Arabidopsis thaliana: one gene and its partner. The protein of the gene in region 2 interacts with the protein of the main gene of each other region in a pairwise test. Each region holds a gene or a part of one and is shown on either strand. Other genes may lie near its edges.

The links.
Region 1: the proteins of EXO70E2 (region 2) and AT1G49850 interact in a two-hybrid assay, tested with the Arabidopsis thaliana proteins (one large-scale study listed by BioGRID).

Annotation. Positions count from the first base shown.
Region 1 is NC_003070.9:18,453,484-18,458,998, forward strand, and holds AT1G49850 (RING/U-box superfamily protein), read right to left. Parts: upstream 3,137-5,515; 5' UTR 2,962-3,136; coding exon 2,749-2,961; intron 2,660-2,748; coding exon 2,466-2,659; intron 2,189-2,465; coding exon 1,843-2,188; 3' UTR 1,361-1,842; downstream 1-1,360. Other genes in the region: AT1G49840 (glutamyl-tRNA (Gln) amidotransferase subunit A (DUF620)), read left to right, coding at 45-674; GSTF14 (glutathione S-transferase (class phi) 14), read left to right, coding at 5,227-5,382, 5,483-5,515. UniProt on the Arabidopsis thaliana protein: Probable E3 ubiquitin-protein ligase that may possess E3 ubiquitin ligase activity in vitro.
Region 2 is NC_003076.8:24,550,839-24,557,917, forward strand, and holds EXO70E2 (exocyst subunit exo70 family protein E2), read left to right. Parts: upstream 1-2,905; 5' UTR 2,906-3,773; coding exon 3,774-5,693; 3' UTR 5,694-6,205; downstream 6,206-7,079. Other genes in the region: RPA70D (Replication factor-A protein 1-like protein), read right to left, coding at 1-228, 316-586, 672-849, 950-1,177, 1,283-1,429, 1,676-1,803; ECT3 (evolutionarily conserved C-terminal region 3), read right to left, coding at 6,647-6,832, 6,923-7,069. UniProt on the Arabidopsis thaliana protein: Influences the subcellular localization patterns of other exocyst complex proteins (e.g. SEC5A, SEC15A, SEC15B and EXO84B) leading to their recruitment to exocyst, well-defined large punctate structures throughout the cytosol.

The sequences.
Region 1 (5,515 bases), on a different chromosome or scaffold from region 2:
AAATCAATCCAATGCTGATTCTGTTATGTTAAATGATGTTTCAGGGACTTGATCCGAGAACTACTGCTACTATGTTTGCTGAATCGAAATGTGTTGGAGAGAGGAAGGTGAATGGTGAAGATTGTTTCATTTTGAAGCTATGTACTGATCCTGAAACGCTAAGGGCGAGGAGTGAAGGACCAGCAGAGATTGTAAGACACATCCTTTTCGGTTACTTCAGCCAAAGAACAGGACTTCTAGCTCAAATTGAGGATTCGCAGTTGACTCGAATCCAATCTAACGATGGTGATGCTGTTTACTGGGAGACCACGATCAATTCGTCTCTAGACGACTACAAACAGGTGGAAGGGATCATGATTGCTCACTCTGGACGCTCTGTTGTTACCCTCTTCAGATTTGGGGAAGTTGCTATGAGCCACACTAGGACAAAGATGGAGGAAAGATGGACCATTGAAGAAGTCGCTTTCAATGTTCCTGGTCTGTCTCTAGATTGCTTTATCCCACCCGCTGATCTTCGGTCTGGTTCGTTAACTGAAGCCTGCGAGTACTCGGGTCAAGAGGAGAAAGGGAAGAGCTCACTAGCGTTGGCTTCAACAACAGCTCATAGAGCTAAAGTTGCAGCCTTGGAGAAAGGAAGCTTCGACAATGATCCTGTTTGGCATATTGATGTCTGAGTATGGTAGGGAAGATGCAATCTGTGCATAGTAATCCTAATAACAAGACTCGAGCCTTGAAATGAGACTAACTAACCCCTTTGTTTAACAGCTCAAATATTAGGAGTTTGATTACACGATTGGTTTATTTAAGTTTCATTTCTCTTATTTTCTTTGTCGCCTTCAATATTATTGAGTAAGGTGATGGGATTTATTTGCAGCAAGAGAAGGAGAATTGCTGCTTAAATGTTGAATTTGTCTCATATTTTTCTAGCAAGTCAAAATTTCAATCTATGGAAAGTTAATTGTTAGCAAGTGAAGCTCTCTTATCTTCTTCAGCTTTCGTTGATTTTAAACTGAACTAAACCGTTTTAAGTTGGTTGAATTTGAATCATATAGGTTTTAATGTTGTCGAAGACATGAAATTGATGTGATAGAAAAAGAAAGGCAGGACATTCTTAATGTATGTATTGTTAATTTTAGTGGTTAGAGAGTGAGGTGTGTTAGGTACCCAATAGAGAAAGTGATGGTTAGGAGCAAATAAATGGGATTTTATGAAAGGAATTGAAGATGATGATCATGAATTTATGAAGAAAGGGGTCCATTTTGATATGCTTTTGTAGCAAAAAATAGCTTTTTGTGCACAACTGTCTTCTCCTTTTAGCCTTAACTTTGTTTTAAAGTTCTCTTTTTTTTGGCATAACTTTCTTTTAAAGTTGTTATAAATTGATTGAATCTTTTGATATTAGACTTCAATATATGTAACGTACATGGATGTATGATAATGACAACGTTTTGGAAGAGGAAGCAAAGCTTTAAAGTAGTATCACCAGATTGAGACAATCAAAATTTCTGAAAATGAAAACGTTAAGTTGTTGAGCTATAACCTCAAAGCATAACCAAATTGTCGGATCAAGATTTGGATTTGGAAAAAGTCTCTTTCATATAACCAACAAGACATTAAAAGAGAGATCACAGTGAATAAAACTAAAAAGATTCACACCATACGATATCAACGCTTGAACTGCCTAATGGCACAACAAAAACCATTACAAACATGTGACAGTAAAAAAAACACTCATGGGCGACAAAACTCAGAAGATCGTTTTAAGGATGTCTATAGCAAGAAGAAGAGAAGATGTGTATGGCTATGGCCTAATGGTTAGGCAAAGATTCTATTTACAAGTTTCTATTCCTTTGCTATGGCTCTACGGCAACAAGGACAATCTCCACAAGCTCTAAGCCAAGGGTTTAAGCAAGAAGAATGGAAACTATGGGTACAGGGTAAGGATATTAGCATGTCACCTTTAGTGAAACTCTCTAAACATATGCTACAATCTCTCATCTCGGATTTAACCTCGGCTGAGCTAAAAGTTTGCCGGTGTAAACAGTTAATAGCATCTTGAGTAAGACCTTGTGGTTTCTTGTTGCATTCATAGGTCACTTGAAGCCCTGCTAGTTGAAAAATTGGATCTCCATCTATAGAATGAAATGAAGACTCCCTTTGATCATCCAATGAAACTCTGTTGCTTCGACTGAATCAGAAAAACAAAGTTGAAACAAATCCGTAACCAAATTTTGAAAAAGAGGCTTCAAAGAAGATATTAAAGAATACACAAAGCAACAATAATCCACAAAAACTGATTTTTACACTAAGTCTTGACCAATCCTCACAAGAAACAAGAGCAAAATCAAAACATGCTTCAAAGAATCTTGATCAGACAAAAGCAATTATTTTTAAAGAAATCTAAAATCAGACTAGAGTGCAGATCAAGTAAAGCTGTAAAATTTATCAGTGGGTTAAGCACAGACCTGTTACTAGACAAAGAAACACCTCTCAATCTTTCGAAAAGTCTATCCCTTGCAAGCAGAACAGCTCCAGGAAGCCTCTCGGATCCATTTAGGTTAACAAAGCTGCTACTCTGAGTTTCAGTATCAGTACTATCCGTATTTAAATACTGACTAGTGCCTTGAACATCACGAATAGGTCTACTACGTTCCTGAATCTGTAAATTAGGGGAGATTTTAGTAAAAAGGACCAAATTCAGACAACTACTGAAATTAGTAATTACTAATTTGGTGGAAAGTAACTAACCGGATGGTGAAAGAAGCGTCGGAGACGGGGAGTGGGTCGCCGGAGAGGATCACAGCCGTCGGAATCATGACGCTGATTATGATGATGGACGCCGTGACGGCGATGATGATGGTGTGAGTGGTGTCGATAGGAAGAAGTGTCGGATTCTAAAGCCGGGTCGGATCGACCCGGACGTGATCTTCGTGTAGAGAAGAGTTCCGATGCGCTCGTCATGCACCGATCAATCACCAAATTCGTTTATATGATCTGAAACTAAGTGCAGCGAGTCAGAGACGATGAGATAAGGAGGACAGAGAGAGAGAAGAGAGAAAATTGCGAGGAAAAAGTAAAGGGAAACTGCAGTGAAAAGGTGACGTCATCTCCCACTTGCTGTCGGAGCTAAGACAAAACATCTTTAAAAACGGTGTCGCTGTAATAAAAAACTAAGGGGAAAAGCCCAATTATTGGGCCTATCCAAGTAAAGTCCACTAATACATAGGTCCCAAGAAAACGGGGAGAGCATTATGAAACACTAAACTGAATAAATGGAGAAATTGACGGAAAAAAAGGGAAAAAATGTTGTTTAATATACCAACTTTCAAAAAGTGGCCATTTAAACTATGAACTCCATATATGGCCAAATAAAACTTAGTAAAAGCGTTGATCGGCCATTTTATATATTCCAAAACATTGATCCGGCCAAAAACCCTGCGACGTTAGCAGTCGTTAATAGAGTCGATAATAGGCGTTAGCAGACGTTAATTAATCCGTTTAAACACAAACGACGTCGTTTTGTGTTTAATCGAAACCAACAAAATTCCCAATTCGATTCTCAATCCCTAAAATCCCCAATTCCAATTCTCATGCCCTAAAATTCCCAAATTCAAAAATCTTCAAAAGCCTCTCCATTTTTGTTCGTTTGAAGATTTTTGTGTTTAAACGGATTAATTAACGCCTGCTAACGCCTGTTATCGACTCTGTTAACGACTGCTAACGTCGCAGGATTTTTGGCCTGGTCAACGTTTTGAGATGTATAAAATGGTCGGTCAACGCTTTTACTAAGTTTTATTTGGCCATATATGGAGTTCATGGTTTAAATGGCCACTTTTTGAAAGTTGGTGTATTAAACAACATTTTTCCCGAAAAAAAATGAATAAATGGAGAAACTATTGATTAGTTAGTTGCTTAACTCAAATCTAATTGTTAATGTACTAGTTGCAGTATACAAGTTGGTTCTAGATAAAATTTTCCTCTTTTAATTTTGTTTTTTTATTGCCACTTTGTTAATTAACTCATTTATTAGTTGTTATTTAGTTGCTTTCACCCTTTATCAAACGATTGGAGCATAGTTTCACATAAATTTCCGATTTGGTTAAACAAACTCTCCGATTTAGTTCATCGAATTCGCAGATGTGAGCACCGTCGGTGTAGATGATGATGATCACGGCGGATAAGAGACGAGCTTCTTTGGTTTTCTTCTACTTAATGATCTAGATGACGGTTGATGATGATCGATTCGTAATCATCATCGGATTTTACGAGAGAAAAGAGAAAAAAAATACACGGGAAAAAAAATTAATGTTCTTTCCTCACATTACCGAACCTATGAAACATGATAGGTATGGGCCTCTTTCCAAACAAAAAATGTTCTTAGCTAAAGTGAGTTCCATCCACTTCATCACATTTTTTCTTTAAATGTTGGCTTTTTTCTAAGGGCTTCAGACCACCGTTAACGATAGTTGTTTAATAGAATTCTTAACAATTAAAAAAATAAAAATAATTAAAAGTTAAAAAAAGAGAGAGAATGAGAAATTCCAAAAACTCTTAGCTAAGAGACGATATCACAAACCCAAAGACACGTTCATCTTTATTATTGGTCTATCTATATAAAATATTTAAAATATAACTGTAAAATTAAAATATTATTATTTTTATCCTTTTATAAATTTTCATAGCATACTGGCGTTGAGGATGGTCTCACCTCTCTAGAGCTCATCTAGAATCACCGTTGGAGGTTGTCTGAGTTTCCTAAGAAAGCGGGAGATCATTATAATTATGAAACACTAAAATTTTATAAATGGAGCAATTATTGATTAGTTAGTTTACTTAACTCAAATGTCAAATCTAATAGTCTATGTACTAGTAGATGCAGTATAAAAAGTTGGTTCTAGATAAAATTTCCCTCTTTTAATTCGTTTTTTTATTGCCACTTTGTTAATTAACTCATTTCTGGTTGTTATTGACTTAGTTTCACCCTTTATTAAAACTCTAGAGAGTCTGACAGGTATTTAATACTTAATCTAAACTATACTATCATTTATCGATCGATGACCAACTCTTAGAAGGCATTTAACATTTACACCCAAAAAAAAAACTCTTAGAAGGCCGAAAGGTTATTGATTATTACATATACTTTTTCACAACTATAAATACGGAGATCACAATAGGACTCATCACCCAATAATATAACTAATCTAGTAAATAGACAAAGAAAACAACATGGCTGATTCTAAGATGAAGCTCCACTGTGGCTTTATCTGGGGTAATTCGGCAGCTCTCTTTTGTATCAATGAGAAAGGTCTTGACTTTGAGCTTGTCTTCGTAGATTGGCTTGCTGGTGAAGCCAAAACCAAAACTTTTCTCTCTACTCTCAACGTATAATCTCTCACACTTAACTCTTAACTGTTTGCATCTACCAAATTTATTTAACTTCATATGTGTTTGAATGAACAATCATTCTCTTCTTTTCTTGCAGCCATTTGGTGAAGTCCCGGTTCTTGAAGATGGA
Region 2 (7,079 bases):
CTTGAAAATCTCCAACTTTGAGAGACTTGATTGCAATCACAGGTGACTGATCAGCCATGTCTAGTAGCTCCTGACCTATGCCAGTTGCAAGATCATTCCACAGGGACACCACAACAGTTTTCCTTGACTCATCAGCCAAAGTTATATCCCTCTTAGGAATCATCTCATTGTCAGTTCTCCTTCTAATACTCATGGTAGGAGATACACTTTGAACAACTCCAATAAGATCTGAAATAGCATAACAATTAAGTTATTATCACAACCAATGTATAATTTACCTGGAAAAAGAATGTTCAATGACAATAAGGCTCTTACCAATAAGTTCCTTCTGATTAACATACAGACCCAACTCTTCAATGGGTACGAAGTTGAATTTTGTCTCAGGGATGAACATTTCTTCGCTACTAGCTTCCTCAACCTCTGAATTTTCATTCAGTGTCATCTCATAATCATTCTGAACTGTTTTGAACTGCTTGTTAGCGAGTTTTAGTGACCCCCTTGATATATAATAAACCTTTCCCAACTGGAATCTGTCAAAAAACTTCCTTGCAGCATCATTAAACATCGTTGCTTGAATTTGTGTTCCCTGGATAACAGCCAAATAAACAAAATGAGAAACCGCATAAAGGTTGTCTATACCAAGTTTGAGAGATAGTAAGGAGCTTTCTTACTTCTTCATCTGTTAGTTCAACATTGAAGACACATCCTTCACCCCTAGCGTTTTTGTAATTTCTCATCACTCCCTTGTTTGTAACTCGGACTTTGATGGTCCAGTTTCCTTGATATGGATTTAATGACACAAGTGGATGAACCCTTCTAGTCATGGCCATTCTTGCAGCTGGTGCAGCACTGTCAAAATCCAAACGAATTTAAGCAAAACACTAATAAAATAACCATTTGACAGAGACAGTAATGAAACATTGAAGATCAAAAAAGATAATTTGCTTACTTTCCCCTTTGTTCACTCATTATCTGAGAAGCTGATTTGGCTACAAATTCCTGCTTCGGTTTCAATGTGATACCAGTAGAAACAACATCATTCAGAGGACTGACAGGAGAATGCTCTAGTTTCTGCTTCTTGGGCTCACGAGCCTCCTCCTCTCCGCTCTTACTGTCCAAGTTAATCTCAGAATCAAGCACAGAACCAACAGCCTCACATTTAGTCACAAGGAAATATCTGACACAGAGACAATAGAGAAACACACATGTTAGTAACTGTTGATTTCAAGAATCGAACCAGAGTGATTATCCATGTAAAGAAGAAGCAAAAGAGAAGTCTTACTTTGTAGATTTGCTTGAAATGTCGTTAACAGTGAAATCAATGAGACGAATTAGACCCAAGTTCTGGATCTTCCCAGAAATGATTTCAGGTGTGAGTGAAGCAGTAAACATTGCTTTGACTTTCGTCTTTCCGTCATTTGCACTAAATCTGTCAACCAAAATCAAAACAGATCCATCAGAACAAAATCGGTAACTAAAACCCAAAACTAGGCAATATACAAACTATTATCAACAAACCCAGATCTCTTCTATCATAGAGTCATCAAAGTCGTTGCATATCATAATCTAGCTATACAATTGTGATTGAGAGAATATAACACTGACCTAAAGCTGGAACAAGCGAGATTTAAGAAATCAAGTAAAACCCAGATCATGAAAAGCCAAGGAAACTTACGTATAGCGATTGCCGATAGGTTTAAGATCCACAACTTGAACAACGATCTCAGATCGATCGGAAGACGAATCAAAGGATGGGTTTGACAAAACGGTGGAGATGGCATCTGGGGTCACCGAAGTCTGCATCTTTCTCTCTAGATATTGAAAAATGAAACGTTTGGTTTCTCTTTAATCAGAATGGTGAAAACTAAAAGCCGTGAGATAGTGAGAAGAATGAGAGAGAGGTACGAGGGTTTTTGTAAAGGAGAGAGCTTTAAGCGGGAGCTATTAAATTCGATTAATTGTTCCCCCGCCGATTTCAATTTCTATTTTTTTGGCAAAAAACTCTTACCGCTTCTTTTCAGTATCTTTCCATTTTTTTGGCGCATTTTGTTTTGTTTGATAATGGACTTTGTATGCGAAAGAAACTGTGTTACAAAAGCCTTTCACTTCAGGCCCATAGTTTATGGTTTTGTTTTTATGTGTGGGTCTTGAATCCACCGTATCACACGTTATGATTCATAAATATCTAAAATTTATTTCCAACAAATACAATTTTTTTGTTTCTTAAAGAACACATACGATATTATTATTTCAGAAAAAGATTAAATACAAAATCCCCAGGATCAAAATCAAACACCAATTCCAGATTAAACAATATCAACAATCTTTAATGTTTTTGACTTTTTTTTTTCTCTGAATGTTTTTGACAATTGAAAAAAATAATTCTACGCATTGCGTGAGGCAAACATTTAAAATTTTAATTTATATAAAGAGAAAATTTATACTTCTTGACTTGGGAAAAAAAAACTTGCTGAGGTCCTTACTTGATATGAGCTGTCAACTACTAGTGTGAGCCGTACAAATATAATCGGACGGTTCAGATCAATACATTGCGAGCCAGTCAAACTTCAAGTATTGACTAATCAACATCAACGTTTATTACACTAATTTATTATTGTACCCCTTATTTTCCAAAAACATAATACTTTTATCCCTATTGTATCCAATAGCTCTAAAAAAATCCACCATAAAATGTGTTTAATGAAATTCGATTATCTCTGACGACAACATTATCAAAAATCAAGACAAGAGATAGAACATAAAATGTTCAAATTCGTAAAAGTAATTGAAACAAATTAAATTCATTTCGAAGTTTATTAATTACATTTTGACCCCCAAATTTAAGTTAATTAGACTTACCATCCCCATGGTTTTCGTCCCGCCATATGGGGAAGTCAATGGACGAATCAATCTCAATTAGATTCGGGGCGGCCCAAAAATTTATCATTTTCTAAACCTTTCGTAATCTACGAAATTACGGGATCGCCTTCGTTGGAATACTAATTCCATTTTTCAACTTTGTTTTTATAAATACAGTTTACGTGCACCACAACTTTTCTTCTTTCCCTTCTTCTTCCCCAATAATCTCGCTGAAACTCTCTTGCTCTTGCTTCTAAAAATCTGTTCTTTGAGACTTTGATCACACAGTTATCAAAATCATAATCTCTTCTTTCCTGGTTTTTTTTTTTTTCTTCTTCTTCTTCCCGTTTCACGGTACGTTTACTCTGTTCGATCACCGAGTGTATGATAAAATGTTTCTGTGAAATCAAATAACATATCACTTTCTAATAAACATCAAAATTTCTCCTTTTTTACAGAAACAAGAAGTTTTTTTGGGAAAGCCGTTGACTTGACTTTTTCTTTGGGGTGTTGTGTGGGAGCTTATAGTATGGTACCATAAGTGGGAGCTTATAGTTTGGGGTGTTGTGTGGGAGCTTATAGTATGAGGAAAAATGTTAGATTTGAAGAATGCTTCACTGATTTTTTACCATAAGTATGTCAACTGGATTAAGCTTAAGTAGTAATGGTTTTTACTATGTTCATGTGGGGATTTCTCTTCCTCTCTGTTTACTTCATTCCGAGATGACTTGAGATTTTTTCAAAGTATAGTTCTTGGAGTTAAGCTTACCTAGTAATCACTTTATATAACATCCCTTCGTTTACATTTGTGCTTTCACCTGGAAACACTTTAGACTTTTCTCTCTTCTGCCGTGTGTATTTAGTTGTCTAGTCAAATTTAAGTTGAGTTTAGGCTCTAGTCTTTGGTTTTGGTTATGGCAGAGTTTGATTCCAAGGTTCCTGTTTCCGGAATGAACAATCATGTCTTTGAGGCATGTCACCATGTTGTTAAGGCACTGAGGGCATCTGATAACAACCTGGATGCCAATTTGAGAAAGCTCCTAAGTGACCTAGAGATGCATTTGTCAACATTTGGGATTGCTGATACCAAAGTTGAAGATGCAGGATTCTCTGAGATCAAGAAGAGATTCAAAGAAGCTGTGAAGAGAATCCGCAGTTGGGAGACAAACCAGTCGACGATGTTTGAAGCTGGTCTGTCTGAAGCTGATCAGTTCTTTCAAGCCCTGTATGACGTTCAAACAGTTCTTGTGGGTTTCAAAGCTTTGCCCATGAAAACTAACCAGATGGAGAAAGATGTTTACAACCAAGCTACGGTTGCTCTTGACATCGCGATGTTGAGGCTTGAGAAAGAGCTCTGTGATGTTCTGCATCAGCACAAACGGCATGTACAGCCTGATTACTTGGCTGTTAGTTCCCGTAGAAAAGATATTGTGTACGACGAGTCCTTTGTCTCCCTAGATGATGAAGTTATTGTCGAAGCTTCTTCACATGAAGATGATGAACAGATATCGGACTTTTATAATTCTGATTTGGTTGATCCCATCGTACTTCCTCACATCAAAGCTATTGCAAACGCCATGTTTGCTTGCGAGTATGATCAACCATTCTGTGAAGCTTTCATCGGCGTTCAAAGAGAAGCTCTGGAGGAGTATATGGTTACTCTCGAAATGGAAAGATTCAGCTGCGTTGATGTTCTCAGAATGGACTGGGAGGATTTGAATGGTGCAATGAGAAAATGGACAAAGGTTGTTAAGATCATTACTCAGGTCTATCTCGCCAGTGAAAAACAGCTATGTGATCAGATTTTGGGAGACTTTGAGTCAATTTCTACAGCTTGCTTCATTGAAATCTCAAAAGATGCAATTCTATCACTCCTCAACTTTGGAGAAGCTGTGGTGCTGAGATCTTGCAAGCCAGAAATGCTTGAGCGCTTCCTTAGTATGTATGAGGTTTCAGCAGAGATTCTCGTGGATGTCGATAACCTCTTCCCCGATGAAACAGGCTCGTCTTTAAGAATTGCATTTCACAACCTGTCAAAAAAACTAGCTGATCATACAACCACAACCTTCTTAAAGTTCAAAGACGCAATAGCCTCAGATGAATCCACACGCCCCTTTCATGGAGGCGGGATTCATCACCTGACCAGGTATGTAATGAACTACTTGAAGCTTCTCCCGGAGTATACCGACTCACTAAACTCACTGCTTCAGAACATACACGTTGACGACTCCATCCCCGAGAAAACAGGAGAAGATGTCCTCCCTTCGACATTCTCTCCAATGGCTAGACACCTCAGGTCAATCGTCACAACTCTAGAATCCAGCCTTGAGCGAAAAGCTCAGCTGTACGCAGACGAAGCACTGAAATCCATTTTCCTGATGAACAACTTCCGTTACATGGTCCAGAAGGTAAAGGGATCAGAGCTGAGACGCTTGTTTGGAGACGAATGGATCAGGAAGCACATTGCAAGCTACCAATGCAATGTCACTAACTACGAGAGATCCACATGGAGCTCCATACTCGCTTTGCTCAGAGACAACAACGACTCTGTAAGAACCCTGAGAGAAAGATGCAGACTTTTCAGCCTTGCATTTGATGATGTTTACAAGAACCAAACCCGTTGGTCAGTCCCTGATTCAGAGCTCCGCGATGATCTTCACATCTCGACCTCTGTCAAGGTTGTTCAGTCTTACAGAGGATTTCTTGGAAGAAATGCAGTTCGCATAGGCGAAAAACACATCCGATACACTTGTGAAGACATTGAGAATATGCTCCTTGATCTCTTTGAATGTTTGCCATCTCCAAGATCACTGCGCAGCTCTCGTAAGAGATGATGATGATGATGACTTGAGCCTAATGGACTCCATCTTTGTTCTTTTGATCTTTTGTTATTTACTCACTTATGCAATGTTTTGTGATTGCTTACATGCAAATAAAGTTGTAGAATTTTTATACTCCATTGTGGGGATGTAATAGTAATTGGCTATCTTGTCACTATGTCATCTTTGACATGCTTAATACAAATTCAATGTTTAAGTCGGATTTAACATTTATAATGACGATGGTTTTTTGGTTAACTCTATGGACTCATCTGATTTAACTGAGGTATGGACTTGGGCTATTTGACTAGGAGATATCTTTGGTGACTTCTTACTACTACTCACCTCTGTATTCTCTGCTGGATTTTGGCATATGCAACAGCAAAGTGTTGTTGATGGAACAAGTGAAGGAAGTGAGCTAGCAGTGGAAAGAAGACTGGGCTGATTATGAATGTCAGTAATGACGTCTCTCCCCAGTCAAGAAGATAACTAGAGAATTATGCTTAGAAGATTTGATGGTAGCCTTGCTATTCTCCATCTATTCTCATCTTCGGAAAATTGTCTAAACTATAGTACCCTTATGTCCAAAAACCTACAATCTTCTGTCAAAATATGAGAAGGAACTTTTTTTGGACCGTTTGATTCCTGCATTCGAGTATGAAGCAGATGCCAAATGTTTCTCTTACTTGTCTTGCCTGAAAAGTTATATAAAACTGAATAAGCTGATTCAATACCAATCTTTTACCCATATCCTCATATGTTGGACCATTACTAAAGGGATAGAGAATAACTGCAAGATGATGAATGCTCATGCCAAAACTTCATCTACTAAGCCACTACCCTCTCAACTCGGTTCCAAAAAAAAAAAAAAAAAAGTCTGCAAATTCAGGAATGGAAACAAAACTAGAGAAACGCTCTAAATAGCCTAAAACAGCCCACCCAGTTCCCACTTAAAACCAAAGGTTGGTTCAGCAGGCAGTAGCAACAGCATTTTTCTCCACAGGTAACTCGGTCTCTTTCACCACTTTCGATTCTTTAGTCACTTCAGCCGCAACTCCTAGTGCTGCTGCATCTTCTGAGGCTGTAGTAGACTCTTGAGGTTTCACAAGATTAATTTTTGACATTACACCTTTGTCTGCATTGGCCACCAATGTCTGCTTGGAAACAATACCAAAATTTGTAAGATATTCCTGTTATATAATTATATATATCAATGAATTGTTGGTTTCAGAGAGGATTGTTGCCTGTTTTTTGATCTGCAGGTGTTTGCTTTTCCTTTCTTGGATAATCTTTTGACGATTCTCATAGAACTCAAAATCATCGAGGATGCATGTCTTGCTTGCGTGGTCCTTGAAAATCTTGATGACTTTAATGCCTTGCTCGAGCTTTACCTGCAGACAA